Linked DNA regions of Drosophila melanogaster. The protein of the gene in region 1 interacts with the protein of each later gene in a pairwise test. Each region holds a gene or a part of one and is shown on either strand. Other genes may lie near its edges. The genes, in order: esn, pcs, Gsc and MtnB.

Evidence for each region.
Region 2: the proteins of esn (region 1) and pcs interact in a two-hybrid assay, tested with the Drosophila melanogaster proteins (one large-scale study listed by BioGRID).
Region 3: the proteins of esn (region 1) and Gsc interact in a two-hybrid assay, tested with the Drosophila melanogaster proteins (one large-scale study listed by BioGRID).
Region 4: the proteins of esn (region 1) and MtnB interact in a two-hybrid assay, tested with the Drosophila melanogaster proteins (one large-scale study listed by BioGRID).

What each region holds. Positions count from the first base shown.
Region 1 is NT_033778.4:7,102,415-7,111,381, forward strand, and holds the start of esn (espinas), read left to right. Parts: upstream 1-4,265; 5' UTR 4,266-4,527; coding exon 4,528-5,510; intron 5,511-8,967.
Region 2 is NT_033778.4:14,978,067-14,986,914, forward strand, and holds the start of pcs (parcas), read left to right. Parts: upstream 1-3,196; 5' UTR 3,197-3,715; coding exon 3,716-3,757; intron 3,758-6,260; exon of another isoform or gene 6,261-6,342; intron 6,343-8,848. Other genes in the region: ckn (caskin), read left to right, coding at 164-640, 771-1,619.
Region 3 is NT_033779.5:589,099-597,811, reverse strand, and holds the start of Gsc (goosecoid), read left to right. Parts: upstream 1-3,126; 5' UTR 3,127-3,431; coding exon of another isoform or gene 3,432-3,605; coding exon 3,606-4,224; intron 4,225-5,178; coding exon 5,179-5,540; intron 5,541-8,713.
Region 4 is NT_033777.3:20,500,892-20,507,734, reverse strand, and holds MtnB (metallothionein B), read left to right. Parts: upstream 1-4,116; 5' UTR 4,117-4,204; coding exon 4,205-4,229; intron 4,230-4,290; coding exon 4,291-4,397; 3' UTR 4,398-4,633; downstream 4,634-6,843. Other genes in the region: MFS9 (major facilitator superfamily transporter 9), read left to right, coding at 1-161; Or92a (odorant receptor 92a), read right to left, coding at 1,549-1,761, 1,828-2,026, 2,126-2,940; CG46441 (uncharacterized protein), read left to right, coding at 5,792-5,849, 5,903-6,096, 6,152-6,190; Dic2 (dicarboxylate carrier 2), read left to right, coding at 6,423-6,843. UniProt on the Drosophila melanogaster protein: This protein binds cations of several transition elements. Thought to be involved in metal ion homeostasis.

The DNA.
Region 1 (8,967 bases):
AACTGGGGACGCATCGACTGGGAACGGAAAGCGACAGCGACAGCAACAGCAACAGCATCACGTGGCAACAACAAAGCCATAAATAACAAAGCCAAGTGTTGGGGGGGGCACTTGGGGAGGGACTTGTGGTGCGGGGTGGCGAAAGGAAGCCACTGCCAACAAGGACGACAGGTGCAGACGGGGTGGTGCTGGTGGGGTGTTTCTGGGTGATTGTGCCGTTGGAAGCGCAGCAACAGTCGCAGGGCGTTCAAAAAACAAACCAGCACTGGCCGAAAAAAATGTTACATCACTTTATAAAGTTTAAACAAAACCTTAACTTAAAGGGGATTCATTTCAATTGAGGAAAATTCAGTTAGGTTTAGCTAAAGTATTAAGCCTAGTAGCAGTCTAGTGATATTTAAGATAATCTTTTAAATAATCTCTGATGTTATATATACTTTGCAGTTATTAAAATATATTTATGGGTTTGTACGATTTCATTTAATTTTAAATTGAGTGAATATTTTGATAAAATTTTCTTCTGTTTAGTCAAATATAGGGGAGTGACAGAACAGGATTGGAAGGAGTAAGGGAACAGAGCTTATGCAAGAAAATATTTACAATCAAGTCGATTAACAAAAGGAAACCTTGTGACGCGCACTTTGAGTTTTTCCTTGTTGTTTCCGAGCCCCGCTTTCTTCGTTTTTTTCCACTCTCCCCCAGAGGTTCGGGTGGTTTTCCTCCGACCGGCTTGGTTTTTGTGTTTTTGCGTTTTTAATTAAAAATCAGTAGACTCACGTAGTCGCTGGCTCTGCGGAGCCTCTTCAGTCGCCGACTGTCATCAGCGCCATTTGGCAAATCAACGTAATCATTGCTCCTCCCAGCTACCCGTTGTTTTCGCCACCCCTGAGCAACAATATTTTTCATAAATACGACGGAGGCAGCACTTGAGATCTTTTGCCACATTTCCCCGCCAGCGACAACAATTCATAAGCGACGTCATCATTAGGGAAACATTTGCCGCCTACACACTCCTGCCACACGAGTGTGTGAATTGTGGCGACTCCCGCTGATTCCTGCCTGCCTTTCCAGCCCAACTCCCCATCAAACATCCTGGCCCAGTGCTTATTGTCTTAAGAGGAAGTCAGACGAGGGGCAGGAGGAGCAGGAGGAGGCACAGCCGCCGAGATTGGCAAGCGGATTGGGGCTACGCACCTCGCTTTTCATTGAAAAGACTCCCTGTTGGTGGTTTTTATGCCATGGCGGAAGCAACCAGAGAATCGCAAGAGGATGCACACTGTGGTTCCACCTTGAATAGTACAAAAATGCTAACAAAATTAACGGTAACTTTAAGTTATTTGATTGAATGTAGTGTTAGTGTAAAGTTATTCTGTTCAATGCGCAATTCGTAGATGCGAAATTTTAATTAATTTTAAGTCATAAAAACCATAGGAATATTGATGAAAGCTTACTAAACCATTCGAAGATTGTCTTATTAGAACAGTTCATATTTAAATGAATTTACTAAATATTTAGTTATTCTTACAACAATATATATTGAATTTTGAAGAAAACTCCAACCTCAAGAACATAATTGTGAAATATGAAATATATGCTAGAAACGAAGTATATTCTATGCCAGCGTAAATATCACAAGCACATATCTATATAAATAAATACATAGTAGACTTTTGTTTGGAATATACATATAATTTTTAACATTGTGGGGCTTAAGTACCACCTTGGTTCACCGATTTGCCCCACTGTGCCTTCACTGTTCAGCGAGCAATTGCAGCTTTACTTTTTGCGCGTTCTATGCCCATCTATGCCCATCCGCCCCTTTTGAAGTGCTTTCGCCCTGCCTTTCTCTTTGCCACTGCCTTTGCCCACTCGCTTGTGTGTTTTATATATATTTTGCAATTTTTCACTTTACGACTTTCACATTGTTTATGCAAATAGGCGAAAATGCTATTTGAATTTAGTAGAAGAGAATTATGATAACGCGATTGTCAACGGCAACCCTGATTTTATTTTATTTCCTTATATTTTTGTTACCATTTTCCCGTTGTCTTTGCCGCTGAGATACAGTTATGATTATGACAGGCACCATGTTGTTTGGGGCAAGTGAAAAAAATATTAATAAAACACTACACAGCCACCCCTCCACAGCTACACACCCCCCACCCCACGCGACACGTGCGACAAGCCGCACAACAGTCGGTGTTATTGCCCCGTTGCTGCCTTTTTTACAAAGTGTAAATTGTTTTAATACTTTTTAGTGCCACGCAGCGCCATCTTGTGTCGCGTAGTGGCGGCAGCTGCGCCAAACAGCCACGCCCCTCCTCCGACCATCGCCCACCGCCCACCGCCCGGGGCAACTTTTGACTTACACGTGTACGTTGCACGTTCAAATCTCAACTTTTACGACCTCTGCAGGATATTATCGTCGTTGTTTTACTAGCGTCACTTTCGGGCTTGTTGTTTTTTGCGCTCCTGCTGCAATGACGTTGACTTTAACCTGTTGGCCATGGCCAAAGTGGGAAAAGGGCTACACTTGGAAAAATTATCCCCACTTTTCACTTCTTTACAGTATTCAGTCAGGAGTATTCATATTGTCATTTAAATCAAGCAGAACATCCTTCTTTAAGATGTGGTCGGGAAATGTAGTGAATCTAATTCAGAAGTTAGTTTTATAGTTGAATGGAGCTTAAAGGCATTGTCTATCGACCATACAACCAATGATTGATTACTAACGATAATGATAATACAATCACCTTGAGCATCTAATGTTCTCAGTGCACCAATTTTCACCTGCTGCTGGCATCTGACAACTGCTTTCGCTGACATTTCTCCAGTTGGAGACCGTGTGTCTCGGTTTTAATCAAAATTGTTTCATGAATTGTTCAGTTGTTCCAACTGTCAAATAAAGTTTTGACGCCCCTCTTTTCGGAAAACTCCGGGCAATTAAAATACTTTTGGCAGTCACTTGCTTATTTCGTTTGCCTTCAGCCGCTTCATGTTGGCTGTTCTCTTCTGGCCTGGTCCTCAATTAGTTGGGCCATTTCGCCCATCACTCTTTGAGTGTCGAAAGAGAGTGCAAATATTTAACGTTAAATGGGGAAATTAATTTATTTACTTTCGTCTTTCATTGCAGTTGGTGAAACAATTTGTTAAAACGCAAACTTCGCAATGGCAATTCGTTTGGGAGAGTTTTGAAGGTAAGTTAAAAATTCAATTGAATCCTTTAGCTTGTAGTAAAGGTCACTAATTTTAAATTATTTCTGGTTGTTAGTAGCCAGAGAAGAAAGTATAATTGCAAAGTGTGAGAAGTTAGCGGCTCTAATTAATTCATCGAGAGAGACACTTTATATAGCGACTCAAAATAATTCAACGAAAGACACATTTTATATTGTGCAAATAATTTTCATAGCATTTTTATATCCGAGATAGTTAGTGGAATGCCTCGGAAGTGAAACTGGTCTTTGATCTATTAAGTCGATTATCAAAATCACCACATAACTTTAAACTAAAAACCATTTTGAAGAATACTTATCCCAAATATCAACAGGACATAATTGCACTGGCTAGTAAATTCTAGCTCAGCCTCAATTGCAATGAATCAGTAGCTGCGTGTTAATTGAATAATATGTGAAATCGGTGTCGACTCCATTACCGTCCGTGTGCTGCCACAAGAAGAGAGTCCCGTGCAGCATAGGGAAGCCACAAACCCTAATTTCCAATGATTGGTTTGTTCCCTCGTCCACGTTCCATCCGCCCGTCTTCATTTCCATTCCGGGGCAAACGGATGGATTTCATGAGAGGGGCCTTACCCGATTACCACATTTTCACCAAGCCCGCAGTCTAATGACCACCTATGAGTGCGCTGCTAATGTGGTAACACAACGCCCAAGGGACGCTGGCCGTGGTCTTCCCTTGTTGGCCGTGATTGAAATGGGTCAATCGCTAAACGGCCTGAAATGTGTCAAATGGCCCGAAGACAGCTGCATCAACCAGTTGCAGCTACCAGAATCTGCCTCTTCAATAGCTGGCTAATAAACGCCACCACATTCTGGCTCGAATCCGAAGCACTCAACCGAAAGCCACTCGACTCACCTGTGCCACCTGTTTTACCTGCACTTGCTTGGGCCACAAGAGCGAGCGAGAGATATATAGATGAGAGAAAGAGAGCTGTGGTGAGTTGGCTGGATCGTCTTGGTGGTGAGTTTGACCTGCACCAACCTGGCCAAAAGCCGCCTTTCGGCCAACAGCTACTTTCTACAATCTTCAGTTGTTTGAGCAGCCCCAAAGCGAGCGGTGCGAGTGCTGTTCTTTCGCGAACCAGGAATTCAGATAGAATCCCAGCCGATACGTATCAATCCGATCGCGAGTGCACGTAATTGGAGCAAGCGGATCGCCCGTTAATTGCTGGCGACGGTAATTGCAGGCCGCCGCATACCTGCCAACTGCTTAAGGTGTTCCCCGTTCGTTAATGTGTCAATTGATTGATTGGCCCGCGACCCGTGATTGACGTGCGTTCCACTCACCGCGATGCTCTCGAAGAAGCGCTGGTGGAAGATCCGGCTGCCGCAGGTGGGCAAGCAGGATCAGTCGAGGAACTACCGGGACATCGTCAACCTGAGCGAGTGCTCCTCAGTGCTGGCCAACACGGCCACCACGATTAGCGACAGCTCCACCACCACCGCCAGCAGCGGCAGTCCCACCCGCCACCGGAGCTGCGACAGTCTCTCCAAGAGCTCCCAGGCGGAGGCGGGCAAGCTGTTCCCCCGGAACATGCCCAGCATACGGCGGAGTCGCCGACGGGCTGTGTCCGCGGAAAGGGAGCGCCTGGCCAGCCGGGAGCGGCTGGAGGAGCAGGTTCAGCCGCCGAAAATGCCGCAGATAGGAGCTGGACAGCAGTCCCGGCTATCGACGGTGACCAAACTGACGCCCAGGAAGCAGAGTAGCAAGTCCACGTGCTCCAAACATCGGGGCAACGCCCCTGCGAAGTGCATCATCAAGTCGGCAGTGCGAACCAAGACCAAGCCAAAGGCCACCACGATCACCCTAGCACCCTACGAAATAGCGCTGGAGCTGCCCAACGAATCCCCTGCACCCACTTTGGCCATGGCCGTGGCCCAATCCTCCGGCTGCGTGCAGAGGAAGCTGAGCAGCGAGGATCAGTTCCACTCCTCGGGAATCTCCTGCAACGGGGAGACCGACGATGACGTGGAGGTGGCCATGCTGACCGGCAGCTTAACGCCCTCCCAGATAGCAAGGATCCAGGGGCAGCAGATCCTCCGATATGACGATCTGAGGAACCTGAACCGCTGCCGCAACAGGAACGCCGTTTGGCTAAATCCCAAGGATACGGAGCAGCTCCTCGAGGTGGACAAGAGCAGGAGGAAGGCCAACTGCTACTTCAACCAGGCCATTGCCGACGATATCCAGCTCAGCGATATTGAAGAACAATTGGCCAGATTTGATGGCCACTCAAAGAGGCCGCCACCGCCGGCAGCCACAGCACCCAAAATGTGAGTTTCCACCGGCTATCTCTAATGGCCATAACTCTCGGCGATAAGTGGGCGAGGGAAAGCGGAGTTGTCGGCGGGAATGTGGCCAACTAATTTGAAATCCATTTGATGAGCTTTGCATTTCCCAATTTAAGTGACTATAAAACGGGCGTCGCAGTAGAGAGTTTACGGCCCAATTTGATGGCTGCTTAATAGCTTCATATGAGCCGTGCTCCGTGCTCCGAGTTGAGGAGCAGTTGGGTTCTGGAGGATTCTATTCCTAACCACTGGAATCATACTTTATGGTTCTTCAAATTAAACTGGCTATTCGAAGTTATAGGCAAGGCAGATCGCATTAAAATGGGCTGGCACACTGACAGCTTTATAGATTTCCGACTTACGTTGAGTTAATACTCGTTATATTGAAAATGGCCGCTTTCGTGTTTGGTAATTTAATACCTTTTAGCTGCCGTTGAAAATGTGGGTCTGCAACTTTCTACCAATGTTGTTTTTACAACTATTGAAAGAGAAGTACGAAGGCCAAACAATTTACCGAATTTACCGACTACAATTGCAATTGTTTAAAAGGTAATAAACCAATGGACACGATTGTTGTTTTTGGCCCTTGGGTTTATAGCCCATTTGAAGTTTGCAATGTTAATATGGAATTAATCCCGTGATCTTTTTTTCTGTTGTCATTTTTGTCACCATCGCCATTTCTTTCCCTTATTAGATTTCATATTGTTTAGGATAAATTAATTTCTTCAGAACTTCTTAAGGAATCCAGAACGATAAGGCATACCTCTTTGGCGGCTCATAAATAGAGCGGAGTTTATCATTTTCACCTGATCAACAGCCGTTGTTGGCTACGCGTATCAGTTTCAATTGCGCTGAGAGTACAAATCCTACAGGTCACCCTCGAATAATGGCACAAATAATCCGCCATAAGAGGCTCTGTCAGCTGGAGGCGACTTTGTGGGCTCGCTAAGAAGGTGTTATTAATGCCCGACTATTTGCAAAACTGGCACCGGAAAGTTATTTATCAACTTTCTGGCCAGCACGTGCTCCTTCCTTCGCCTCGCTGTCGAGTTTTGTTAACTGCAAAATGAATTGCATGCAGCTAAGTGGCAACAGCAGCGGTTAAACGAGGCTGGCAGAACTTCGGGTCCACTGAGCCCATCCTCACGAGGTCCTTCTCCTCCGATCGCCCGTCACCTTGTGTTTGCATCCTGCAGCCTCATAAATTCCATCCGACGACTTCATAAATTGAGTTCTTTTTGCCGCCTGACTGAGTGCCCTTCATCGAAAAGGTATTCTGTATCTTTCAGATCTTTCAGATCTTTCAGGTCCTCGGCATCTTTGCCATTTCTGCCATCTCTTCCATCTTTTGTATTCTCTGCATTCCGCATGCAGACTTCATTTGCATGGACTTCTGTTCATAAATCTACGCAAACTGTTAATTAGATTTTGTTTTGGGTGAAGCCATAAAATATTGGTGGAAGGAGTGCGCCATCAATTTCCCTTAAACAGAACTTTGTAATTTGAGACGCACATCCACCTCCAGTTCCACCTCCAGTTCCACATCCATATGCACATCCTCTCGAGCCATTCGCAATCAGCGGGGCTATTACATTCGCAGTTTAAATAAACCAAACCCAATATTGACTGGCGGCTACTTAAAGCGTAATTAAGCGCCTGGCCGGCCGAACACTTTGCATAGGAATCTCAACAATAAAGTAAATAAGTTGGGACCGCCGGCGGCCCTCTTTTGCCAGCCTGGCTAATTGAAGTTGGCCAGAAGCGAGGGGCTAGTCCGCGTCCATGGACCACCCGAGTGGTTCACTCCGGACTTATCGGTTTACGATTTGCTGTGATTTAAAAATGAGCTACGCATTTGATTTTAATTGCATTCGATGTGCGCAGTAGTTGCGAGTGGATTCGAGTGGAATGGAATGGAGTTGGAGCGAAAGCCTTTTGGCCGTGATATATGGCATTTTAATTGAAATGGCAAAAGGCCGACAATCGTGTAGGGAAGAGGCATGGTCGTGAGGGGCGGGAGCTTAATCTGACTTTAACTGATTCGCGGACACATCAAGTAACGCCCCTTCGGTGCTCAGCGCTTCAGTGAAGTGGATCTGATTTTCTTTGGCCTTTCTTCTTCTTTCTACATATTTTCAAATTATTTTTTCGCTGGGCGTTCGGGCAATTTCTCTGGCTGTCAGCGAACGAAGCCAATCAAAACCACAACTTGTTCTCCAGAAGATTCAACCCCCTATTATAGTGACACACACATTATAGTGTGACACAATCCCAGGGCCAAATGTTTTATAAGCCATCTTTGTCTTAAAGTGGCTGGGAAGTCAGAACTCGCGTTTTATTGATTCAACACCTAATCGAGAATCCATAAAACGCATTAACAAAACACAAGATTTACAAGTGAATGGAGAAGAAGACAGAAGAGTTGATTGATTTCGCCTCGAGTTGGGGGAAACTCAATTTATAATCTCGAAGTGGCGGGTCAAAGGAGGGGAGGGATGGAGGGTTAAGTATTTTGCAAAGCAGAAATGTGTTTATGAAATAAAATCGAAAACCGCAAAATAAAATTAGCCAAACAAGCCGTGGGCCAAAGGGGAAAGGGGAAAGGGAGGGAGGAGCTGGCTAAATTGAAGGGCGTTTCTTTGCAAGCTCATTATATTTCCTGTTCTGCCGCCCGATTATGATTATCTTTTCTCCTTGGATGCCCTGTGCGGTACATATGCTACATATGTACAATTCCGAGGAGCTCCGTATCAGGATGGAGTCAATTTAGTGGCAATAAGTCAGAGGTTGCTGATTGGGAGCGTGTGTAAGCCAAGTAAAGTGTTCTAGCCACGATCGGGAGTCGGGCACTTCGATAACCAGTTTGGCGCATTGTTGCGTTTAATTTTCGTAATTTACGTTTAATTGAAATCGGCGGAGAGCACAGGCCGTGTAATTAATTTAATGGCCATCGCTTTGTTGGCCAAATACAGGTGGGAAGCGAACCTGAAGCCCGTTTTGTGCCGTCATGCCCCTTTACAAATCGTTACCAAATTGTGGCAACTTGGGTCTGGACCTGGACAATTACCAAATGGCATTGCCGAGATCTCCAGTCGCCCACACACCGCATTGATTTCCATGGGAGCTCTAAAAATACAAACTTTAGAAATTGCCATCAATCAGACGGCGGTGGCCTAATGAGAACCAAATGCAAATCGAGCCAAGTAACAAACTGGCACAAATGTCACTTGGTCGAAAAGCTTGTGAAAGTGTCTGGCCGATCGGCGATCGCCCGCACAGATCTGAAGCTGGAATTCAAGTTGATAATCGTGATTTGCTTGAAATATTTTAGCCACTCGAGCGTCGAGATTTCCGCAAATTAATTTCGCCCCCCATCTGCGCGGCACTTTGCGGAGAAAGCCAGCTCGCAGATGGATGCATTTCGACTCCTCCGATTCCA
Region 2 (8,848 bases), 7.9 Mb from region 1:
CCTTCATTAATATTGCTTTGCAAAAAATATTTTTATTTTCATATTATTATTTCTGTTGTTGAGAATTTTTTTCTCGTTGATTTCCAATTAACTTAGAAGAAAACTGGCCTCATTAATTTCAAAAAGTTGCACCTCCTAACGAGCCTCTTATCCTTTTCTGCAGGTTCGCCAGCCGCGCGGCAAGAGCCTGGAATCTTTGGAGGACATCCACGACAACAGCACGCGCAGCCATCTGACCTTCAGCCATTACACAACCACGGACTACGGCCACTTTGGGCCGCCGACAACAGCGGCGGCTGCAGCGGCAATGGCCGCAGCGGCCACACTGCAGCAGCAGCATCATCACCAGCAGCTGCTCCACCAGCAACAGCAGCAGGCAGCTGCCGCCCGTCTCCTGGGCAACAATGCGCCTGGCATTGGATGGCGGCGATCCTACGACGACGGCGACATCACACCCACCAACGATGCCACGAGGGAGCTGCTCTACGAGCAGGAGGGCGGCGGAACTCTGCCACGCCAGCAGCGTGGCATCCTGCAGCGGGCGGTGTTGAACACCATGCCGCCACTGGAGCACCATCACTACATGAATGCAGCGGCTGCGGCGGAGTACGGTGCGGCCAGCGGTGTGGAGGGTGGAGCGGTAAGTTGGGGTTCCACGAATCCTTAGAACACTTATCTGTGGTTGCCATAGTTGGTTATAATAGAAGGGACACCAAAGTGGCAACTGTGGATTTTAAACTGTTCTTACTAAGAGCTATCTTCTATTACAGAATTACATGGGCGGCAGTCCTTTGACGGGCAAGAAAATAGCTCCTGAGCCACCTAGACGCCACTGCAGCATACGCAACTCCCGCACGCTGAGCGGAGAGGGAGTGCCGTCGGGAGCGGCTGCGCAGGCGCATCAGCAGGCAGCCCAACAGCAGCAGGGCCAGCACATGTTCTACGGCCACACGGCGCAGCACTGGCAGCAGCAGCAGCAGCAGGCGGGTGCAGGTACTGGTCAGCAGCCGATCTACGCCAACTATGCCACCATACAACAGACAACGGCGGAGATACACTGTGAGAAGTATCACGACAGTAAGTCGACTTCCAGCATCGATTCGATTGACACGATACCATTTGCCAACGAGAACACTGGGACGATAAAACAGCGGCTGCTCAACCGCCAGGAGCTGCAGGGCGGCGGAGCGGGCAACAACAATGTACCCGGCGGCGGCCATCCCGCACACCTGCACTCCTCCAGCTCGAGCTCCAGCTCCTCCTCCACGAACACCATCGCGAATATAGCGCACTCGTTCCATTCGTTGAAATCTTCCAGTTCGCTGCACGATGCCACATTGGCGCGGAGTGAAAGCATGGGCAGCACAGCCAGCGGTGGAAGTGCCTTGCACCTGCGTTCACCCACATTGGATATGTCAAATGCCGGTGGATCAACGGCGGAGCCTGCAAGTTCGCCAGAAGCAGCCGTACCAACTGTGGCCATAAACAACGGCGTTCCGCCCAAAGTTTCGGTGAACGTTCTGAACGACATTGGCAATATGCTGGCCAATCTCACGGACGAGCTGGACGCCATGCTGGAGGAGGAGAAGCGAGTGGGCCTAAACATAGACAGTGAATAAATCTCCAATCAAACAACAAATCGTAGTGTAGCTGAATTTAGAAGTTGTGGTGTATCTTGTAATGTTTTATGTACTTCAACTTAGTTAAGTTCAATTTGTTTTTGTATTTCTTATTCCAATTGCGTGTGGAGAAGCATTTATATTGGATCGTATTCTGTATCATTTCGATATGCACACTGTGTAGTAAAAAGCAACTACAACTGAAAAGCTTTGGACAAACCATGTATACTTTTGTACTTTTCCTAAACTCTCCTCCCATTCCCGAAACTATGAGTGTTAACAATACAAAATGAAAATAACCAAGTAAAAGAATGGTAAATGAAGCGCAACATGCATATATGCAGAACTTGCATAGTTATTATATAGCATAAAATATATATAATTCGATATATAAATAAATATTTAAACGAAATCATTTATATGGACAAGTATTTAGTGGTTTGATACTATACGACAGAGGAGGAATCAACAAATAAACCACACGGCACACTCTTAAACAAACACAATGAAAGTCAGGCAAGAACTACTATTTAAAGATCCCATTCAGACAATTTCAAATTGTATTATTCTAGAATTTTGTACCTTAGTTCTTTGTTCATTTTTTTCAAATCACGCTGCACAGAAATGTTTCTTTTTGTTATGATTACAACTAAAATCAAACTATATGAAATGAATGTATAATTAAGTGTTATTCCATACAAAGTAAAAAGATGCATTATATAAAATATAAATCTTATATTAGCGTTAAATTAAGAAATCAAAAATAAAAGAAGGAAACGAATCCATCTTTATAAATTATGTTTAATCGGGCATTGATGCTGAATAACGTATGAAATTCCGTGGTATACAACTGAATTGCCTTCTTCTTTATAATTTACATAAATAAAAATCTTTTAGTGAAAATTTTGTTTTTTGAGAGTATTTTCGGTTTTCTGTTAATTGCGCTCAGTTAAAAATATGTTTGGTGCGCATATCATTAGAGGAAATTGGAGTATTCGATTTATAAACGCATATAAGGAAAAGTAAACAAATTAAATACGAAAAAATCACAAACATGTAAAGCACATAAAGGGCAAAACAAAAATGATGAAAACAAATAACAAATAAAGTAAACTTTCATAGTAAAATGTTTCTGGTTTTAATGCATATTTTGTTACTTAGTCAGACCTATTTATTTATATTTCATTAATACGTATTTAGCAACTTTAACAAAAATCCTTTTTGAAACAAAATTTTTTTAATTATTCATAACGTTACGAAGTGAATCAACTACGTAACGTGATGTGATGGTTATGTAGATGAGGCATATGACGTAATGGTAAGAGAAAATACCAAGCCCGCCAAGAGTAATTTTGAAGACTAATATGTTAACTTAGCATTTTTTTAAATATAAATTGTTACATTATCAAACTGGTGCAATGAAAATCAAACATTTTTTTAATTGTTTATTTTTCTTGAAAATAGTTGGCAACAATGCCAGCGTTGTAATGAAATATACCAATACAATAAAAATACCAAATGTTTATTTCAGCAACTGCTGGTCAGCATTTCACTATCTGGTAACACCGCGCTGCGGTCACACCGAATTCAGCTTCTCATTTCGTCGCGTCTGGACGCGTCTTTAATTTTTAGGATAGTTTAGCCTTTATAAGCGAGTTAATTAAATATCTTAGATGCCCCGAGCGAAGGAGAAGGTGAAAAGCCGCGTGCCCTGTCCACTTGTACCGTTCGTCTTGTTCACACTTAATGTAATCGCCATGTGTCCCTTTCCCTTTTCGCTTTTAACTTCGTTGTGAAACATAAGACGCAAAATGAAATATTTGTTTTAATACTGCTGCTGTACCCGCATAGCAAATTGCCAGTTAAAATTGCCAACACCAATTTACATAATATTATAGAAAAAAACACAGAAAAAAAAAAGAAAAACAAAACACACAAGCAAATTGATAGTCGTGGGATGTGTCTGTGTAGCAACGAGATCAAATAGTGAAATGCAAAAGCGTTTTTCAATTGAAAAGCGGGCTGCAGAAAAGTGAAAATTAACGCGTTTAGCGATATATTTGCATTTGGAACGAATTCAGTGAAAACCAGTAAAAATGTCGAGTGCAGAAGACGGCGAGCTGGATCCCCAAATTCAGGTGATTTTCCTTCGGCAATTTGCCTGCTGTCCTTCCTATTTTCTCCCCCTCTCTCTCTCATTGTATGCCTCTCTCTTTCGTACCTGGCACTGAATGGAACGGTATTTTAATGACAATAACAATATTCAGGCTGCTTTGTTTTTGGTTTGCTTGCTAGTTCTCTCTATCACCTGCTCTTCTTTGCAGTGCAGTTTTTGTTGGTACAGTGCATACCCGATTCGGTGAATTGTGAAGACCGAGGGTATCCACTGTACCAAAGTGATAAATGTGCACCTAGATTTTCATACAAAAATATGTTTACAACTTACAAGCAAAAAACATAGAGCACTGTATTTTGGAAATAGGAAACAGGCGTTTTTGCATTGCATTTCGTTACTCATTTATTGCGTGAACCTTTTTTACGCTTTGTTGGTTTTCAAAAACGATACAACAGCAAAAACCAACACAGAAAATCAATTTACGAGCCATTTAAGCAAATTGCAAGTTTCCTTTTCCGACGAACTATTCAATATGCATTGTAAAACCGAAAACAATACAAAGTGCAGGAAAAAAGGGATCACAAAGGGTGTCAAATAATCCCACGCACTTCCAAGTAAACTGGTTTTTTTTTTCTTTTTACCCGCAACGGATTTGAACTCGGTACCTAAATGAGATTCAAGTGCAACTTGGTTATTGCTCTTTATCTTTCGCCCCTTCTTCTTTGCTCATCTCTTCGCATTTTTGGGAGAGAGGAGGAGGTATGCATACAAATTTAATAAATGGAAATACCAAAGCGCACACGCAAGCCAAAGCAGCAACAACAAAAAACAAACACGCCTTTGTTTCTATTTCGAGTATTTTATATATTATTGTGTAAGCCAGACAATTGAAAAGTGTCTTGAAGCGCAAGTCGCAGTTTTTGCATAAATCAAGATTCATATGCTGCTCATTCAACTGCGCAAAATAGTCGCACACTCGCCTAATAGCCTTAAATGGGCAGGAAATAATACGAGTCTGTAAAAATAAAAACTCAAATCGGATGAGTATAGTGAAAAACACAATGTTTCCAAACCGTGATCAATAGGAGAATATATTTATGTATATGAGTATATAAGTATAAAATGGTTATTCAAGTTAAAAACACCTTTATCCAGGGCGATCAATCGAATGGTACGTCCATTGTGAGAATACCCCCTACATAGACAAAGGAAAATCCCGGTGTAGACCTACAATAATTCCTATTTTTAAATGCAAAACTTAGTGGGAGAGACGCCACACGCGGCGCAAAGTCATTAACAACAATTTGATTTCGAACCCAGAAGACAGACGGCATGTGACTAGATTGGATTCGTCGATAATGTCCGAAAGTACATATGTATAGGTATGGGAAAATGTGTAGGAGATATTCACTTTGTCTATAAACAATCTTTAGTGCGGCTCTATAAACCAAATACAAAACTGTACCGAAACCGGTTAAGAATTCTACGAAAAACCGCATGCTACATTATACAAAAAAACGCGAAATATTTTGCTCCGCCTATTTTTGCCTTCTTTCTCAATGTTTTTATGCTCGACTTCCTCTTTCGACAAGTCGACTTTGTTGTTTTTTTGCCTTCGATTTGCCAATGATTTATCAATGAGCATTTGGCGTTCTTCTTTTTTTTTTATTTTGCGCGTGCAAAATTTCTTATCTAAAGAGATGTTTTCAAGTTGATGACGCCAAACAATAGACAAAGAATAGGCACCGCGTCGATGTCGCAAAGTCTATTTAACCAAAAACGTGTGTCCTAACAGATGTTTTTTGTAAACAATTCCACACGCGTCAGTTAACTTAAAAATATGGTCATTTGCGTGCTACGGATTTGTTTTTCGAGCCCCAAACTTTCTAATCTCATACCAATCCACATCAAAGCGTCACTTATCGATTAGATGATAATTGCTTTATTAAAAAAACAAAGGGGCCTTTTTTTACGATAGAAATTAGTGAGAAAAGCTTTGTAGCAATTTAAAAATAAATTAGTAGCCTTGCCCCATTTGATAATTAGATTAGCAAGGGAAACTTTATGTGCAGGTGAATTTGATAAAAAATTATAAATGACTAATGAAGTCGGCTATCTCTGGTCTCAGTTACGTAAGCAAGGTGAGAGTACGGGTATCGCGAATTAGAGAACTCGATCCAGGCGTCTATGAATCAGAAAATCGTGTCCGAAAAGTGAGTCAACGTCTACTCTATATATGTAAAAATATACCGTAAAGGTGTCTCCCAAAAGTGTATATGATATTCTTTATGCTTATCTTTTATTGCGAATACGAACTTGTGCTTATATCGCAAGATTATTTATGTGCATACAATACAAAGTTCATAACCAGTCCCGATAAAAACTGCATTTAATACTACATAGCACTCTTCATATTTGATGAATAAGTTTGCTCTCATTTATTTATTATTGAGTTTACTTTTTATTTTGTTTGCGCTTCCAAAACAATTACAACTTTCTCTGATCAAAAAAAAAAAAATCTCAAGTGGCAGCGGTGGGATTCGAACCCACGCCTCCGAGGAGACTGGTGCCTTAAACCAGCGCCTTAGACCGCTCGGCCACGCTACCCATAATCATCGCTGGTCATAAGCGCTTCTGATCGCAAGTGCTATATTTATATTTACCATTTTTATAGCAAAAATAACAAAAACAATTGTAGGAAACAATAATAAATACTTAAAAAGCAGCTGGGATTGCACTTTCATAAACAAACTGTCTCTTTCAGAAGGTTTATTTTCTCAATTAACTGGAGGTTTTGTAACCTTTTGGTCGAGTGCAATCCCCCGGGTTTCCTTAACCATCAGTATCATCACCAATTATCATCATCATCATTATCATTATAGTCGATGGCGCACAACACAGTTGCTACTTTCGAAGAGCGGTTACCGCACTCAATTTTCCATGCATTTTCAGCCTTAATGAATTCAGTTTGGATCGGCTTTGTTTTGGTCGTCGGAATTGTTAATGACATTCAATGATTGCGCTTGTTTATGTAGTTGAACTTAGGCAGTCATTTCCTGCTTTATCAAATCAGCAGAGATACGATTTTCAGAGGCAATCTTATCAGTCATGAACTTGTACTTGCATTAACAACTATTAGATTTCTATAGACTCAAAATGAGTTTGGTTGACCTTTGATCTGAATTGCTTGGTCATAAAGAGAAAGTCGAGAATTTGAGTTAGCATAGCAATTGAAAATAATTTGTTCAAAGTGGGTCAGGCACACGAGAGTTCCACACAAAAAAAAAAAAAACATCATATTCAACACAGAAGTTTATCGTTTTATACGAAGTTGACATAACTCTAATTAAAAAAGCAAAAACTTTATGCGGTCAATTGCAATTGTCAAGCTACGTTGACTTAATTTTCGGGTCGTCAGACATTCACTCACGCATCGCCGTTGAGTTTTCTTTTATATAACCATCTTTTTGACCTACCAGCCAAGACTTTCTCAGCAGTTCCACTTTGGTTAGTTTTCCCCTTGGCTTGCGGTTTTTTACATACAATTGTCGCATTATTTTCGGCCGATGACGTCTATTTCCGCTTGAGTTGAATGTCCTACGAGTTCCTGAGGCTTCCTTCTTTTTTTTTTTTTGTTGTTGCGCAAGTCAAGTCGATGTGGGTTTGCATTACAGCTCCTCCATTGCGATTATGCCCAAGTCTGGCCAGGAAAGTGGGGTGGTTCTGGCAGGAGCTGGGGACAAAGCTGTCACCAGCAGATGTAGGTCAGGTCGACCTATTCGGCATCACGCCACCGGCACAAAGGGCAGCTGGCGTCATTGCGGAACTGGCGGAACTGCGAGCGGAACAGGAGGGAGTGTCGTGGCCAAATGGGTGTCCAAAGTAGGGAGTATATTGTGGAAAGTGGCTGGGACAAGCGAATAAGCTTATCCTGGGATATCTAATAATGAGCTTGGCTGCTTTTCATTTTCCTAAGTAATTTAACAATATTTATTTATCTATCAACGCAAATATCTATATATTTCCTAATCTAATTTAGTTATGTCTATTTATGAGCGCTGTTTGCTGAAGACTTACGCCTGTTACTAGCCAAACAATCGCCATCCTCGAATTTCCAAAGAGTGGGCGGCGCCCTCATGTCTGACGAATTGTTTTGGATCCTAACGAGCCGCACTCACGTCATCTTCTTGTTAGCAGTTGCCTAGAGAAGCGACGCTCCTGGCTATAACCTTTCGCATTTGATTGGCTTTATTCATAGTCTGTGACTCAGGTTGAACTCTAGACGCCCTTTAACAGCGCGATTCTGACGAATGCAAAATGAGCGCACATCGCGTGATTTGGTTAAGTTTTTGGGCCAGGCCTCGTTCCATTTGGTTTTGACCCTGTTGTAAGCTTTAAATTGAACGCATAAAATCAATAACTGGAGGAAAGTTCCACTCGCTCATAAAGTTATGTATATTTGCTTGATTCCCGAAAAGTGAAAGATGTTCAATTTTATCGAGAATATTTCGATTCGATTATTCGAATTTTTGCACCCCAATTGCATTTTGAGTGCTTGAAGGCGAAGTTGTGAAAATATTTATTCAATTTGCGTTGTCATTTTAACATTTAATTTATGCACAATACTTTTTGTTTGTTTGATGATAATCAAATATTTTTGCTACCAGCCAGCCACACACAGCTGCCTTGGCGATTAAATATGTTAGCCTTTTTTGCCAGTATTTACAATTGAATCGCATTGCAATAAATGGTTTTTATGATATTTACCCATTGGAGAAGATACGTGCCCTACGGAGGAGCTGGAGTCGATAAAAAATATACTTACACTCTGGGCAGGCATGTTTATGCACCATCTGTCGGAACTTTTTATCTTAAATCTTTTACCTGCATGAAAAACTGCCAAGTGAAGGGCAAACAAGCGAACTTTTCATTAGCCAATCGTTAGGCAAATGCAGCGAAATGCACGAAACAAGTTCCTTGGGCTGCTGAAAATTCCTGGAAAGTTCAAGTGTTGAAGTGTTCATCTGCGCCGGATGCCCAAACTGGTTTTGTTTGTTTACACGAATAACCGGTTTCGGAGTTTCAGAGGTTCGCTCGCACTTGGCTCGGTCTT
Region 3 (8,713 bases), on another chromosome or scaffold:
ATCCCTGAGCTGACTGATCCCTTGATGCGACTGCCATTGCCATAAATTGCTTCTATTTCCTACACTGAGAGTCTAAATGTCCAAAAGGGTTAGAACTGAGAGCTGATGAGAAATTTGTAAATAAAATTAGGAACATTAAAACTTCGTTGTGAAAACGCCCATAAGTCGTGAGCCACGGAATCGAATGGGATCCGTAGGTAGGGCAGGACATTTGGAATATTCGAGGTTTGATTACCCATAAACTATTTCTCTTTGTGTACCTCTGGGATCCGCTGAAAAACCTTCGACCGGATCAACTGCGCGACGTATAAAACGATATTTGGATTAAACGTTTAATTGACTGCTGAGCAAAACCGGTGTGACCATATAGAGACATATCCAGGGGTTGCTGCTGCTGGCGGGGATTAGAGCCCGATTCCGATGTCGAAGCTTCATTACCATATCAATGTCGGCAGCAGGCGACTCAGCCTCAATCGCAAATCCTCAGCACGGGATTTGGCTGCTGAATCCGAAGAATCTGATTCCGATTCTGGTGCGGATTCTGCTGCTGATTTCGATTTGGCTTCTCGAGGAAATTCGCTTAAATTTTTAACAAGACAAATACGCAAAGCACACGCCCCTCCCCCGTCTATTTTCCATCTCTCCCGGTTTTACCGCTTCTGGGAAACAATCATGGAGAAAGGGAGAGAGAGAAAGAGAGAGAGCAGGGAAAACTTTTCTAATTTTGCACAACTGGAAAATGTGGCCGTGGGCGTTCAAAGAGAAATGGCAACAGAAAATCGAAATAAAAATCATCATCATCGGGAGGGAGCCAAGAAAAAGTTGAAGATGATGATGGTTTTTTCCACATTGTTTTTCCCGCTTTTTCTCCGGCGCTCAAATGGAAAAGTAGAAAAACCTTTTATTCCACAATGTTTGCTTAGTCCTTTGCCAATTGAACTTTTTCGCACAGCCAATCGAAGGGGTAGTGGTACTCAGCCAAATACAATACTTAGACAAGTTAATTTAATTTTTTATTTAAAATTCAATCTGCGAACTAAAACAAAAAGTGCACAGCAAGTGGGGAAAGAATTCAGGTCAGAGGTCAGAGTAGGTAGAAAAGGCAACAAAAAGTTTCATGTGAAAAAACAAGTTGAACAAATTCTGTGAGGAAAATAATAGAAAAAAGTGCGTCACATCTTTTGAGCTTAGCGAGAAGCGCACTCCCAGAGCTTCCTCCTCTTTTTCCATTCTCAACTCAATATTTCCTTTACATTTACAACATCGTCATCATCGGTTTTCCCGTCGGGAGTTGTTGGCCATGTAAGAAGTTCAGTGTAAAGGCAAATAGCGAAGCCCAGAGAAAACTGGGCGGCAGGATCCACTAAGAATCGGAGGGGAAAGAGGACCAGAAATATCCTGGTCCTGCGGTCCTTGGCCTGCTTAATTATTCAATAATTTCTAAAAGCATTTGGCCACATGCGACGTCATCAGCCGTCATCCTTTCATCCTTTTACGGCATGTGACAGGACCGCCCCTCTTCTTCCGTGCGCCCCCGTAATCAGTTGAACACATATACCCCCAACACACACTAAAACATCTGCATTTATGTAAGCCTCCCTCCCTGGACCCCTCCTCTTTGTCCATCTTAGTACACAGAGCGATTTGGGTGCCCTTTAAATACTTTCTTATTATTTAAAGATATTTCGAAACCACCCAATTTAGTAGTCAGTGTTGATTGATAATTTATCAGGAACGCCTCGTCTTCCATGATTCTCCTAGCAGAATTAAGTTTAGTTAGTATGTAAAGATGGACCTTACTTGGGAATTATTTCTCCAAGTGATCCCCATTTTTCACCCCCACATAGGTGACATTGTAAGGACTTTTCGGTTCATTTGCTTTTCCTGGCTGGATTTCCATTTGTGATTGTGGGTGTGGTTTGCAGAGTTGCATTTATCATTAGTCGTAGCTTAGCTTTTGTTTTCCTGCATTCGAGTGGACGAGGAGGGGGGGCATATCTAGGGAACGAACCCTGGCGGCCATTGGGGATTTTGCACTTGGGCATGTTTGATGTGGAAACTTTAGATTAAAATATTTTCCTATGCACACACACGAGGTGAAACAATAGCGACGAGGGTCACCAAAGTGCCGTAGATTATTGAATGAGCGCTCCCAGTCTCCCTCCAGTGTAAGCTTCATCTTTATGTACGAGTAGTAGCGTGCTTCTTTCTACATAAAACGTTCACCCCTTAACCCTTTTCAAGCTCCCAACGTCTGCAAGAATGATGATAAAGATAAAGCTCAGAAAGGGAGAAAGAGCAAGAGCAGCGCTTCTCCGTGGGCGGATTGAGCGCATAATGATGTTTATGTGTTGCCAGAAACATAAAAGCATTAATTTAGTCATTATCTTCTTAAGATACGGCGCCAGCAGAGGCAGTGGAGTATCAGAATCCCCTGAACGCGAGAAGAGAGCGTCAGGCTTTTTGCCACCCATAATTTCCATCAGCATTTTTATGCTACCCCTGCTACTCACTCTGAGTGAAAGCGAGAGAGCTTCTGTTGCCATATCCTGCGCACCCGCTTCCCTTCTCTATCGCTCCCTCGACAGCTATCTCTTTCTGTGGGGGCCGCGGGGTCTGTCAGTGATGACTTTATCTGTATAAATAACTGTCAGTGGCCAAAGAAAGTAAGTAGAGAGCGCAAAAATACAAAAAAATACATGGAAGCATTGGTGTGAATTGGGTGGAAAAGGAGGGGTCTGGTGAATGGGGCATTATCTCTGTAGCGCCATCTTTATCCTGGACCTCCTGCCAGCCTTTAACCTGGAACACTGCAAGATGGGGGCCCGACACCATCAACCACCACCAGCTAGAGCGAGAGAAAGAGATACAGAGGGAAAGCAAAAAAGGGAGGGAGGATACAGAGAGAGGGAGAGGCGTCCAAAGCCAGAGAGTATTGCCAAGCAATATGGTAGCGTTGAGGGCGTGGCTTCACCCCGATTTCATTGGCCAACGTCGAAAAATGTCCGCTAAACGAGAGAGCAGATGTGAGTTTGTATCTGGCATCTGAGAGTCTGTATCTATATCTGTCGAGGAACTGGCCTAACGACTACTCAATCGACAACTTGTCGGGCGGAACGCTCTCACAACACTTTCGCAGCTCGAGCGGACAAGAAGGGTTCCCGGTGGCAGAAAACCTGTGGAAATAATAAAATATAAAATCACGACGCGATTGCAGTGCGTGTTTCTAGTGCGGTTTAGTGAACTTGGCATCGATCAAAACACACTAATCCAGTGAAAAAAACCTAGACTTAATATTCGCAACATTGCCACCATTACTGAATTAAAAAAAATTGTAAAGCGCTTAGTGCTTCAAAAGTGCCGCTTCATTAAAAAAAAATCAGTGGGGAAGAGACTTTTTCCTACTCGAAAGCTTCATAGACTTCTTCAAGATTCTCTCCTCACTGTGGACCCCTGGAGGAGGCGGTGGAGGCACCACCACCACCACTCCCAGCACCACGCCCGACATTCCGCCCTCGAAGGCCAAGTTCAAGATCACCGTCGTGAGCACGCCCAGCCCCTCCCCGCCGCCTACGCCCCCTCCGGCTGGATCTATGCTGGCACAAATGGTAGAGACAAATTCCCCGCCGGCGGGTTACACCCTCAAAAGGTCGCCCAGCGATCTCGGCGAGCAGCAGCAGCCTCCAAGGCAGATCTCGCGATCTCCTGGCAACACGGCCGCCTATCACCTGACCACCGCCATGCTCCTGAACTCGCAGCAATGCGGCTACTTGGGCCAGCGATTGCAGTCGGTCCTCCAGCAGCAGCACGCCCAACACCAGCAGTCCCAAAGTCAAACTCCGTCCTCCGATGATGGCAGCCAGTCAGGTGTCACCATTCTGGAAGAGGAGAGAAGAGGAGGAGCCGCCGCCGCGTCTCTCTTCACTATCGACAGCATTTTGGGCTCTCGCCAACAGGGTGGAGGCACCGCTCCAAGCCAAGGCAGCCACATCAGCAGCAATGGCAACCAAAATGGACTCACCTCGAATGGCATCAGTTTGGGTCTGAAAAGAAGTGGCGCCGAGTCCCCAGCCTCGCCAAATTCAAACTCCAGTTCTAGCGCAGCCGCCAGTCCCATCCGACCGCAGAGGGTTCCTGCCATGCTGCAGCATCCTGGCCTGCATCTGGGTCACTTGGCGGCTGCAGCGGCGAGCGGTTTTGCCGCCTCTCCCTCGGATTTTTTGGGTAAGTCTATCAATCCCCCTATACTGAACGCACAAGCCCCCTCAGCTGAATTTCATTATGAAGACAACTTAAGACGAAACCAGTTCAAAGGATGGTTCTTTAGATAAAGAAATTTTAACATTTTGAAATACCTTATTTCATGCATCTAAACTCTGAAATCACCTTAAGGCAGCTCACTCATGCAGTCAGGAATCACCCATTCAGCCACTCACCCACTTTTATCCTGACATCCTCATCCTCTCCCACTCAACCGAACCACACCCATTCCGAAGCGAGTCCTGAATGGCATTATTCATAATTAGGCAATGATCCGTGAAAGATGATTCCGCATTTCCTCTCCATTTTCCTTCGATTTTGCGGTGAGAGGATTTGCATTGGGCTCTAAGTCTTAGCTTGGGCCGGAAAAACCAGGGAAATCCGGGATGCTGGGGTGGCTTTAAGATGGGCTCAGGCCTTGTGTTGATTCGAGCGTGGATCTCAGGCGCAGATTTATGCAGAATACCGCTTAAATTCATTCAAAGGCTCCCCCGCAGGACATGAATATTAAAAACCTGGTCGCAACTTTTTTCCCCAGCTTGCTGCAACCGGAAACGGAAGCCACACATACGTTTACAGATGGGGTCAAAGGAATAGATCCGTTTTTGCAATATGTTATCCATATATCATTGTAATATTCTTCGTAACGATATTTACATGTTTTCCAAGTACAACATATGCTGAAGAGGGTAAATAGTTTTACATTTTACTTGAACTGATACCATTTTTGTGTCTACTGTAAGCCAAAATGGCGGCAGTTTTATTTTGCGCGGTTCGTTATGCGCATTTTTAAGGATTTACCCAGGAATATTCCACTTACACCCATTCCCGTGGCCCTCTTTTCTCCAGTTATATGATGATGATATGACTGTTATTCCAACCAGGGAATAATGAATTTTCCTTTTGTTTTCCCTACAGTGGCGTACCCCAACTTCTATCCAAACTACATGCACGCTGCTGCGGTGGCGCATGTGGCCGCTGCTCAGATGCAGGCACATGTGAGTGGAGCAGCCGCTGGATTGTCGGGTCACGGGCACCATCCGCACCACCCCCATGGGCACCCCCACCATCCACATCTGGGCGCACACCACCACGGACAGCACCACCTCAGCCATCTGGGTCATGGACCTCCGCCGAAGAGGAAGCGTCGCCATCGCACCATCTTCACGGAGGAGCAGTTGGAGCAACTGGAGGCCACCTTCGACAAAACACACTACCCAGATGTGGTGCTCCGGGAGCAACTTGCCCTCAAGGTGGATCTCAAAGAAGAACGAGTTGAGGTGAGTTTAAAGCTTCTAATTTTTAATGCCGAAGAAGGTGTAAAAAAGGGGGCAAGACTAAGTTTAAAGCATAACTTTATAGACATTTAAAGTAATTTTTTTAAGGCCGCTTTGTCACCACAAAAAAACAATCAATGCCTGGCTTTAGCTTTTGATCACTGTGTTCTTCCTAGCAGCCGCCCACACTCTGTGTTTAACATTTGGCTCTAATTTCACGCTCGTTTTAATTCCCCGCGTGAAACCAATTGAGTGCTACACCCCCGCTCCTCTACACTCCACTTAACCAGAATCAGATTCCGAATCCGAATCTCTGGCATCTGCATCGCAATCTCTATTCTCTCCAGCGAGATTCTCCCTCTGAGAACTTCTACTTGTTTATTTAGTTGTCAGCGGCGTACATTTTGAGGGGCTTCTTCGCCGGCGAAAGCAAAACAATGCCAATCCCAATGATTCACTTAATTTGGGTAATGGGACTCGGGATACAACCGCATGTTTAAACGGATGGTGAGGGTTATTTGCTCGTCGGTGGTTGCCACTGCTGAATCGTATCATTGGTAATGTAAATATGCAGGGATTCCGCCTTCTGCGCCCTTGTAAATCCCACCCCGGGGGATGAACCATCCCTTTAACATCGGCAATTGTGATTCAAAGTCCATTAGTGTCGAGGAAACCCAACAACAAACAAACAAATTGAGAGGTCACCAAGGAAGAAAGTGACGACAAAAGTTGACAATTTAATTTGTTCACATTTTTGGTGCATTGATGGGTGGCTATTTCGCGTCTTTGATGAGGATTATCCACGCTTTCCGGGCTACGGGCCCCGGGTTCCGGGCCCCCTTAGTTTTCGTTTCCCTGGCAATATGTTTGTCAACCGGTCAAATGTTTAATCTAACCCATCCAACCCCATCTCACCCTCACCTTTCGCAGCGCAGGAAGGCGGACAAGTGCGACATTTGTTGACACTCGAAGGGTTTGGGCTTATGTTTAGCCGTGAGCCTAAGACAACTTACACATTAACATTACTAACCATTTAGGATAATGAGAGGCGTGGCGTTACTCAACCCGCAGGCGAATTGACGCCCGCTTTTTGATTAGGCGACAAATTTAACCCGCGGCGAGCATTGGAATCCAAAGCGGATTAGAATGCAGGTTGTAAGTTGTAAGTTGCGAGGTTGTTAGGCGGGAGGAGTTCTACAATAGGATAAGCAAATGAAAAGCCGAGGTGGGGAAGATTTTCCAGCTCTTCAACTAATTGGAATTCAGCGGACTCGAATCTGCTGGCTCACGGGGGCGACTAATTAACATACAACACACAAAAAGAGACTTCAAACTTGTCTCTGACAAGCAAAGTGGATGAGGAAAGAGACGGCAGCAATCGCAATCCCAATCCCCAAGCAAATCTTGTGCTCAGTCATCGCTCGTCATTGACTTAAGCAGCATAATCAACTTCAGGTCTGGCTTCCAACTCGGAACCCCGGCTTTTGTGACTGCTACTGTTTAGCATATTTGCATGCCAAGAGTTGCCACTCGAGGCCTCCGAGCCCCCCGATTTCGGGACCGTCTCTCTAAGACCCCAGCCGCTCCATAAGTGGCAATAATTATTGAAAATCTTGCCTAAGACAAACAGCAGCAATAACAAAAGAGAAAACAAATGAAAAAAGCGAACAAATTCGAAGCCTACACATCCGATGCTCTAACGGAAAAGAGTCCGTTCGGTCGATGATCAATTGGGTACCAAAGGCTACCCATTTACACACCAAAAGCCAAACATGGCAACTAAGTTACGTCTATTAGTTAGGCTTGGATATAGTCTAGATATAGCTAAGTGCATACCAAAAGTACCAGAAAACAAACACCAGAGCTCCGGACCAACGTCTCGTAACTATTCAGTTCCCATCCTGGGATCGTTCGGCATTTAAATGATCTGCTTATTTTGACTTCATAATTTACAATTATTATTTTTATTTAGCCACTCGAGGCGAGGGTCGGCCGGCTTGGGATCGAGCCGGATTGGATCGGATTGGTTTGTATGGGATTGGAACGCCAAACAGTAGCTCTACCTGTAGAGCAAACAAGCCCGTTCTCTTTGTCCGCCTGCCTCTCTTTTTTCGCCTTGGCTTCTGTGGTGCGTGCAAGTCAAATACGCCTAATCCCGCAGCTCAAGTGATCGAGGTGATTTCGTTCTCCGATCAGCCAGATATGGAGGGATATATGTAGCTTGGGATGTAGAGGAGGAATGGCTGGGCTGGAGGGCATTTCAAATATTTGTCTTCGGTCGTCGCCAAGAAATTAGTAATCATCAGCTTGGCATAATTTGTGCTCCTCTCTCCTTTCGATCGCTCAACTCCACAAATATTGATGTTACCCCTTCTCAGACTTATAGAGAGAGTGGAGAACCGAGAAGAATGTGCCCACTCATCACTCCCATCACTCCATTGTGAACTGATCTCTGTTGTGTCTGCTGTCTGCTGTTTTCTCTCACTGTCGTTTTGTTTTGGCCAGGAATTGAAAATTGAAAAGGGCTTGTCACCCTACTGCCTCCTTTCTTTCGAGGATCATCCGGAATCTCAAGCGTTGCCGCTTTGAAGTTGCACAATTGAGAGGCCTCAGCCTCAAAAGGGATCGGGTTTTTTTCTACTTCGGGCCCACCTGCGTTGGCAATTAACTAAAATATGGCTTCTGTATTATAACTATTATTGTTATTGTTGTCTCTCCTTAGACACAATAAACACGTCTCTCCCCCCTCGCCTTTGCTTGTTTAGCCTCGAAATTGAACTAAAAATGGCAATGAGCTGGAATCAGCAGATTTCCGTTAATTTAACCCGAGGTCACAAACCACCCACCACCCACCATCCACCATCACCACCACCCACTGGGTGAGCCACTCAACAACCTTTCCGCCCACAAATCTCACACCCCACACTCGCCGTAAATGCTGTTGTTATAATTTTTCATAATTTTCCATTATTCAAACACTTGAGTCTCGGGATGCGAAATTTCAGTTATCCCCCGAGAATTCTCGGGCAGCAAAGTGCGTTTATGTCCGCGAGCCATGGAAAATGGAAAGATTGGAGGGGCGGGCTTTTTCCAAGGGGAACAGACGCTTTTCCCATGTTTGCTTTACAGTTTTGGCTGTCGAAGCGTGTAACCGTAGACAAATATTATCGCTGGGG
Region 4 (6,843 bases), on another chromosome or scaffold:
ACCTCGTCGGCTGCGTCATTTACTGGTTCTACTGCTCCGGCGATTTGCAGGAATGGGCCAAGACGCCCGAGCAGAAGGCCCAGGAGGCGGAGGAGAAGGCCCAACTGCAGTTGACCCAAACTGCCGGTTTTGTTAACAGTGGCGCCGAATTGAAGGACTAAGCCATTTAGTTTGGCGGCTTCATCACATCATGAATTTTGTGCCCTAGTATTTGTCGTTGTTACGTTTTTGTGATGCTAGCGATATGCGCACCATTGTGTCTATATTTATGTATGTTAATCCATTTAGTCTTTCACGACACTCACTGTGAGTGTTTTTGCGAATAAACAAGGCATTTTATTACAAGTATTTTTTTTTATATATTTATTTATTTAGAAGCGATGAATCAATACAATGCAATAACAGTAACATAACAGCGCAATTAACATATAAAAGATAAAACCAAACCTCTCACTTTGTGAGGACTTACAACTTTGTCTCATATTTCGAGGGGGTCTTTAGGGTTGTCCAAGTGTTTTGGCGAAACCCTTCCTTTTTAATCTCTTTAGAGGCCTAGCAGGGAGTAAGCGTCTAGCAAGTATACTGTGGTGTCGTCTTAGTCTATCACTATATCTGCTGGTGTGCCTGGAGATCTGCTCTTCCACTGTATGAAGATTCAGATCACGGTGAAGGGTAGTGCCACGTACATAGTATGGGCAGTCTGTAATTGCACGCATGGCACGATTTTGCAATACCTGAATGCGGTTGTAGTTGGATTTTGCTGCGATACCCCAGATCTGTATTCCGTACAGCCAGATCGGGGCTACGCAGTGGACGTAGACTGCTCTTTTGGCTCTCAGTGTCATGGTGCTTTTTCTGTTTAACAGCCATCGAAGTTGTTGCATCCTTTGATAACATCTCCGAGTCGTAGCTTTCAGGTGCGGGCCGAAAGTCAACCGTTTATCAAGGGTAATCCCGAGGTACTTAGCCTGTGAAGGTTGATCTAGGATTACACCTTCCAGCTCTATGGGTGCGGTGACGGGACTTAAGGTCTTCAAGGTGAAGCAGGGATTGATGGTCTTTTGCGGATTGACCTTTAAATTCCATATATTACAAGTATTACAAGTCGTTTTTTATGACTGATCCGCAAAGTATGCAAAGTATTCTGTCGCGGGAACGTTAATGTTCTTTTCATGGGGACTTTATGTCACAGCCTTAAAGCATGTATTAATTAATAACTTTTACCCTCTATAACATCTGTAAAGTGTTAACAGAACAGATCTTTTTTATGACAATTTAAGATTTGTTTTATTAATTTTATGAATTTTTATATATTTTTCACATTAAATAACTTGATTTGTTGTGGTTTTTTTTAGGATAGAATACTGTTTTTTCTTAAAGATCACAAGTTGTTATCTTGTTATATAACATTATGTGTACTTATGTATTTGTATTTTGCAAACGAATTCAGTATCTTATTTTGCAAATATGTATTTTTCGTATTCGATGGATTGCTATCAATATTCCGATGTACCTATGCACATACATATATATGTATCTAATCTTCCCTTAACCATAATATGTGGTGCGGAGCAGTGCAAAAAACTGATACGACATGCTGATTACCTTCATAAAGGTATTAAAAGATATGGGTGGAAAGGTAGGCGGTCTTATAGAGGCGGGCTTCTGGCTGCGCGCGATAATAAATTGCAGGATGCGTTTGTATTTGGTGCTGCATGGCAACCAGTTCTGATTAAATGCCGAATGGCCAATCCGAGAGCTCTGAAATGTACATTTCTTGTTAATACTAGACCGAAAACAAGAAAAATTAATAAAAATTAAACTCACTGAAGATATCATTTCATCGCCGTAGTAACAGACCACAAAGACTTGAACCAGCGAAGCTGAAAAAAATATGAAGTACAACACTATGTCCTCCACATTTGAGGCTGTAATCTGAAAGCCAGCGAAGCAAATCACGAGCGATGCGGCAATAAAGTTCCACAGGATCAGGAAGCTGAATATGTTGTTGACCTCCTCGCTGAGGCTGAAAAGTGTATTATAAGAAAAACATGTAGTAGTTTAGTTCTTATCCTTAATTTGGATGAATTGAGAGATATATATAATATATAACCGTCAAACTTACTCCAGCGCCCTGGCATGATAGACGACCAAGTTGTGCAGGTATTTGATATTTTCTTCATCCGTATGATCACCTCCTTCGTAGGCCTCCAAATCATTCGCTATAAAGTTGAAGTGCATGGTCAGCTGGGTTATGGTCGCGATCAGCAGGAGATCCACGCAGACGTAGGAAACTCCGGCCACATAGGCACAATGAGCCAATCCCCAGTAGGAAAACCAGTAGACCGTCAGATCCGTTTCTGCGTCGTAGGGAAACAAAATGTGAAATCCGTAGTTGCGCTCAAAGATTTCCGATCCCATAAGGTAATACTTTATGGTCGACTTGATGGCTGGATAAAAGCTAAATGACGAGGTGTAGGTCATGCAGAGGATGGTGAATAGGGTCATGACCCTGTTCATGTGTTTCCGGTAAAACGATACGTTATACTTCCGCTGCGCTTCTAAATCTAAAGGAAATATCTCCTTGAGATCATCCAGCAATCTGACCAATCGCTTTCTATTCACTGTGAGACCGAACTGCTTAAAGTCGGCCATGAAGCTGAAGCCAATGCACGGTGCCACTGCAGTGGCCTCCAAAAGAGTAGTCGTCGACATTATATGGACTATAAAGTACGCGATTTCGCCCACCACATAGGCATTGAAGTTGAGAAAACCGAGTACCAGATAAAAACGTAGCAGGTAACGCCTTATCACATTCGGATCCCTATCGGAGTACAGATCCTCGCCGATGGTCTTGTAGAAAGTCATCGGAAACCGGGTAAGTTCGTCGAAGGTGATGACTTCATCGTCACTTTTTGGCTTACGTTTGCGGAACAGCATGATTCAGCTGTTTGATCGGCTGACAGAATAAGTCTTAGGTTTATATAGCTCCCATCAAAAGTGTCCCATTAAATTCGCATGAGACACCCTTCGCTGACCTCATAATTACTTAATTTAATTTGGGGTAACGGAACACCTGCCACTTGACTTTCTAAAATATTGAGTTCTACAGGAATGTTCCCAGGACTACACGGAGAAAAATCGAAGGACACTTTGGGGACGAGAGGATATTCATGCAATTTGTGGTAAGGAACTGAAGTCATACTCTAACTGAACGGTGCTGGCTGGTCAAGTTATATATGTTTATGTGATGTTAAATATAAACCTTGTGGTCAACACAAGCACAAGAATCAATTATATATTCATTATACTCGTTAAAGATATTTTTTTTTTAAGGTAAGGTAAATAAAATGGTAAAAAAGTAAAGGTAAAAAAACTAGCCGAGTTAGAGACTGCAGGAAACTTATCTAAGTCGTTCTTTTGTTGCAGGTACACCTAGCAAAAAAAAAAACAACTAAGTCAGGCCTATTTCTATATTTGTTCTCGAAAACTTTTTTTTTACTAAAAGTCATAAATATATATAAAGTTGTTCCGGGTGTTTGGTTTTCCGTGCAACGAACTGTTTTCGTAGCTCCCGCAGAGCTTATAGTTTTTGCCTAATTTGCAGCGCGTTTTTTCCTCTATTAATTTTTAGTTAGCTTTCCACATGTGATATTTTTATGGCATTTACGCTGGGTTTTTTTTGAAAAGAGTTTAGTCGTAAAGCGTTTTTGCAGCCAATATGAGCATTTAAATTTGTTTTACTACAGGAAAGTCTTTTATTTATTGTGAAAAACCCCGCTGGGTAGCTGCCTGCGCTTTTCATGCTTTTTATTGTGTGCTTCTGGGCTGTGGGCTGAGTCACGATACGCGGCGTATACGCAACGTATACGCAACGTGGGCAGCTGATAAGCTGATGAGGAGTTCGTGTGCACCGAGTTGGCGAGCAATCGCGTGCGCAAAAAGAATTGCCTGGCCTATCGTCTGATAAATTGCGAACCACTCGCCCCAGACTTGCACACGACGTGATAAGTTGGGTCAAACAAACAAATTTGTTTTGGATTTGTGCAATTTTGCACTCGTTCGAGTTCGAGGCAATCGAAGTGGGTATAAAAGTGGGGGAGTTGCCGGACTGGGTCATCAGTTGAATAGCCAAGCAACAAGCAAACAAGTGAATATCAGTTCGCCTCAGCCAAGTGAAAGTCGAGAAATAGATACATACAAGATGGTTTGCAAGGGTTGTGGAACAAGTAAGTGGTACAACGCAGCAGCAAGCTGTATAATTGACAATCGTTCTCGATTCCTCGACAGACTGCCAGTGCTCGGCCCAAAAGTGCGGGGACAACTGCGCCTGCAACAAGGATTGCCAGTGCGTTTGCAAGAATGGGCCCAAGGACCAGTGCTGCAGCAACAAATAAGCGGGCCAACTATATAACTAACTGTTTAACTTCTAAACTGGAGCTTAACTCCCAACGAGTTGGCCGCAATAAATAAAGTTTATAAAGATTTTGAGCATTTAAAAGTTTCTGCCGTTAACTTTTTGTTACTGGGCGGTCGGTCATCTTACCAAGCGATAATTATATTTTCGGCTTTTGGCAGCTAAAACCAATTATGGTAAAATAATAAACGTGAGCTGGCATTCAGTTAAGCAAACCGCAAAATAGAATTACATGAAAAATAAGCAAACGCAATGCGACAATTTGGGCGGGATTTGCAAATATTTGTATGTTCGCGGACAGCTGCACCGGAATTAAAATCCAATCCATCAGCCGTGATTTTGGTAGAAAACTCACCGAAAGTCCATTGAATTGTGCGCAAAACGGAACATAAATCGAAATAACATTCAATTTTCGTGGCCATCGAACTGAAACCAAATTATTTAGCCGCTTTTATCTGCGACTGAACTTTGCCCATATGCCAATGGCCGAAATTGCAACCCACTTTGTTTTGAATATAAAATGTATTTCGCTTTTGAGGCAATTTCTCAAAAATGTTGTGCCGATTTTATTGCATTTTCAAAAAATACATATATATTCTGCTCTACTAGCAGCAAATTCCTCCAGCGTTATGTTGGGTTTAATAGTCTGCCAATGGAATAGATACGTTTTGTATCGGCCAAATAATAACTTTCTGGCCAAGTTTTATTTATTTAATAGCCTGCTACTGCTACCCATTTCACACACTTTTGTTTAAAGAGCGGTCGAGCTTTCCATTCGAGTGGCTAGGCCTGAGTTTCCAACTGTCAAAACCAAATGACCAATTAAAATACAGGCACTTGTGGACAATTTCAAGCGTCCGTTTCCGGTGCTTGAGCTGTCAAAATATTTATGAAACAACAGTGGTTCAGATCCATTAGCATAATCAGAGGTGCGTGATTGAGGCGTTTCCCAAAGACCTTTGTTGCGTGCTCAGGTCGTTTTGTTTTCTTCCATTTTGCTTTGCTCCCTGCCCGGATGTAAAGTAGCAGTCTTTTGGCAAATCAGGTGTAAATAATGTGACAGGGAAACGCTCTTGTAATGACTACCTAGGACCTATACTCCACACAAAAATTCCAACAAAGAGTATGTTAATTACCATTTTTAAAATTAGCAATGAAAGTTTTCACAATAATAATAAAATATATTTATATATAAATGAATATGAATATAAAAAGTATTTGTGTATGATTTCCATGACAACTGCTATGATGAAAAGCGGTTTGTATTATTATTAATAATAACAAGTTATTACCCTTGCATTTGGTGTCAAAGTTGAACTTCATTAAGTTTCATATATAGAAAATACAATTACGAACGGGACAAGGAGTTTTAAAATGGAGCTCGGAATCTTGGAAAATGGGCAAGACGAATCGATCAGCTTAGTTGAGACAGGTGAGGTGGCAGACCCACAAATAATACGTTTTGTTTTAGTATAATGATTTCAGGTAATAAGGATAAGCCTAAAGGAGCTGCTTGGATAATAATTATGGTGATACTACTAAATGCATGCTTGATTGCTCTGGCTTTTCCATTATATCTGTATCTGAATTCTGTAGACGAAGTGGTCAAAAAACGCTTGATGGATTATTGCATTGTTGGTGGAGGCCTTATAGGAATTCCGATGTTGTACAGATTAGGAGTGAGTGAAATAAAACGTAAATAATGCAATTATGATGCTAATTATGATAATGTAGGATCTATCGAAGGGACGACCAAATTTCTACTACATTTAAATAATTCATTTGGTTACCATGATGCACTATGATTTGAAAGTAAATTCTAAATTTTTGTGTCTTAATATTTAAAGTCACCAATCATGCTTTCCTTGCCTTTAAACTCGTCAGTCGTTAGATCAACCCCGCACTTTCATTTACATATACATTATACTCACATTTAACAAACAACACACAAGTAGATCCGTAGTAATAAATTAAGGGTAAGAAGTTAGCAAATAGAAAACACAAAATGTCGCTCAGAAGGGGTGGATTGATGTCCTACAACCAGCGGCGTATTGCCCGCTGGTACTTTGGAGGTCTGGCGAGCTCCATGGCTGCCATGGTGACTCATCCGATTGACTTGATCAAGGTGCTTATCCAAACTCAGGCGGAGAAGCTATCGGTATTCCAGACCACCCGCAAGATTGTCAAGGAACAGGGACCTCTGGCCATGTACAATGGCATCTCGGCCTCAATGCTGCGCCAATACACGTACACATTGGCCCGTTTTGGCATTTATTCGGTGGGCTCTGGAGCTATGGACACCAGCACCATGGCCGGCAAAACATGTCTAGCCGCGATTGCCGGTGGAATTGGCGGGTTTGTGGGCGCTCCTGCAGATCTGATCAACGTCCGCCTGCAGAACGATGTCAAGTTGCCACCAGAGAAGA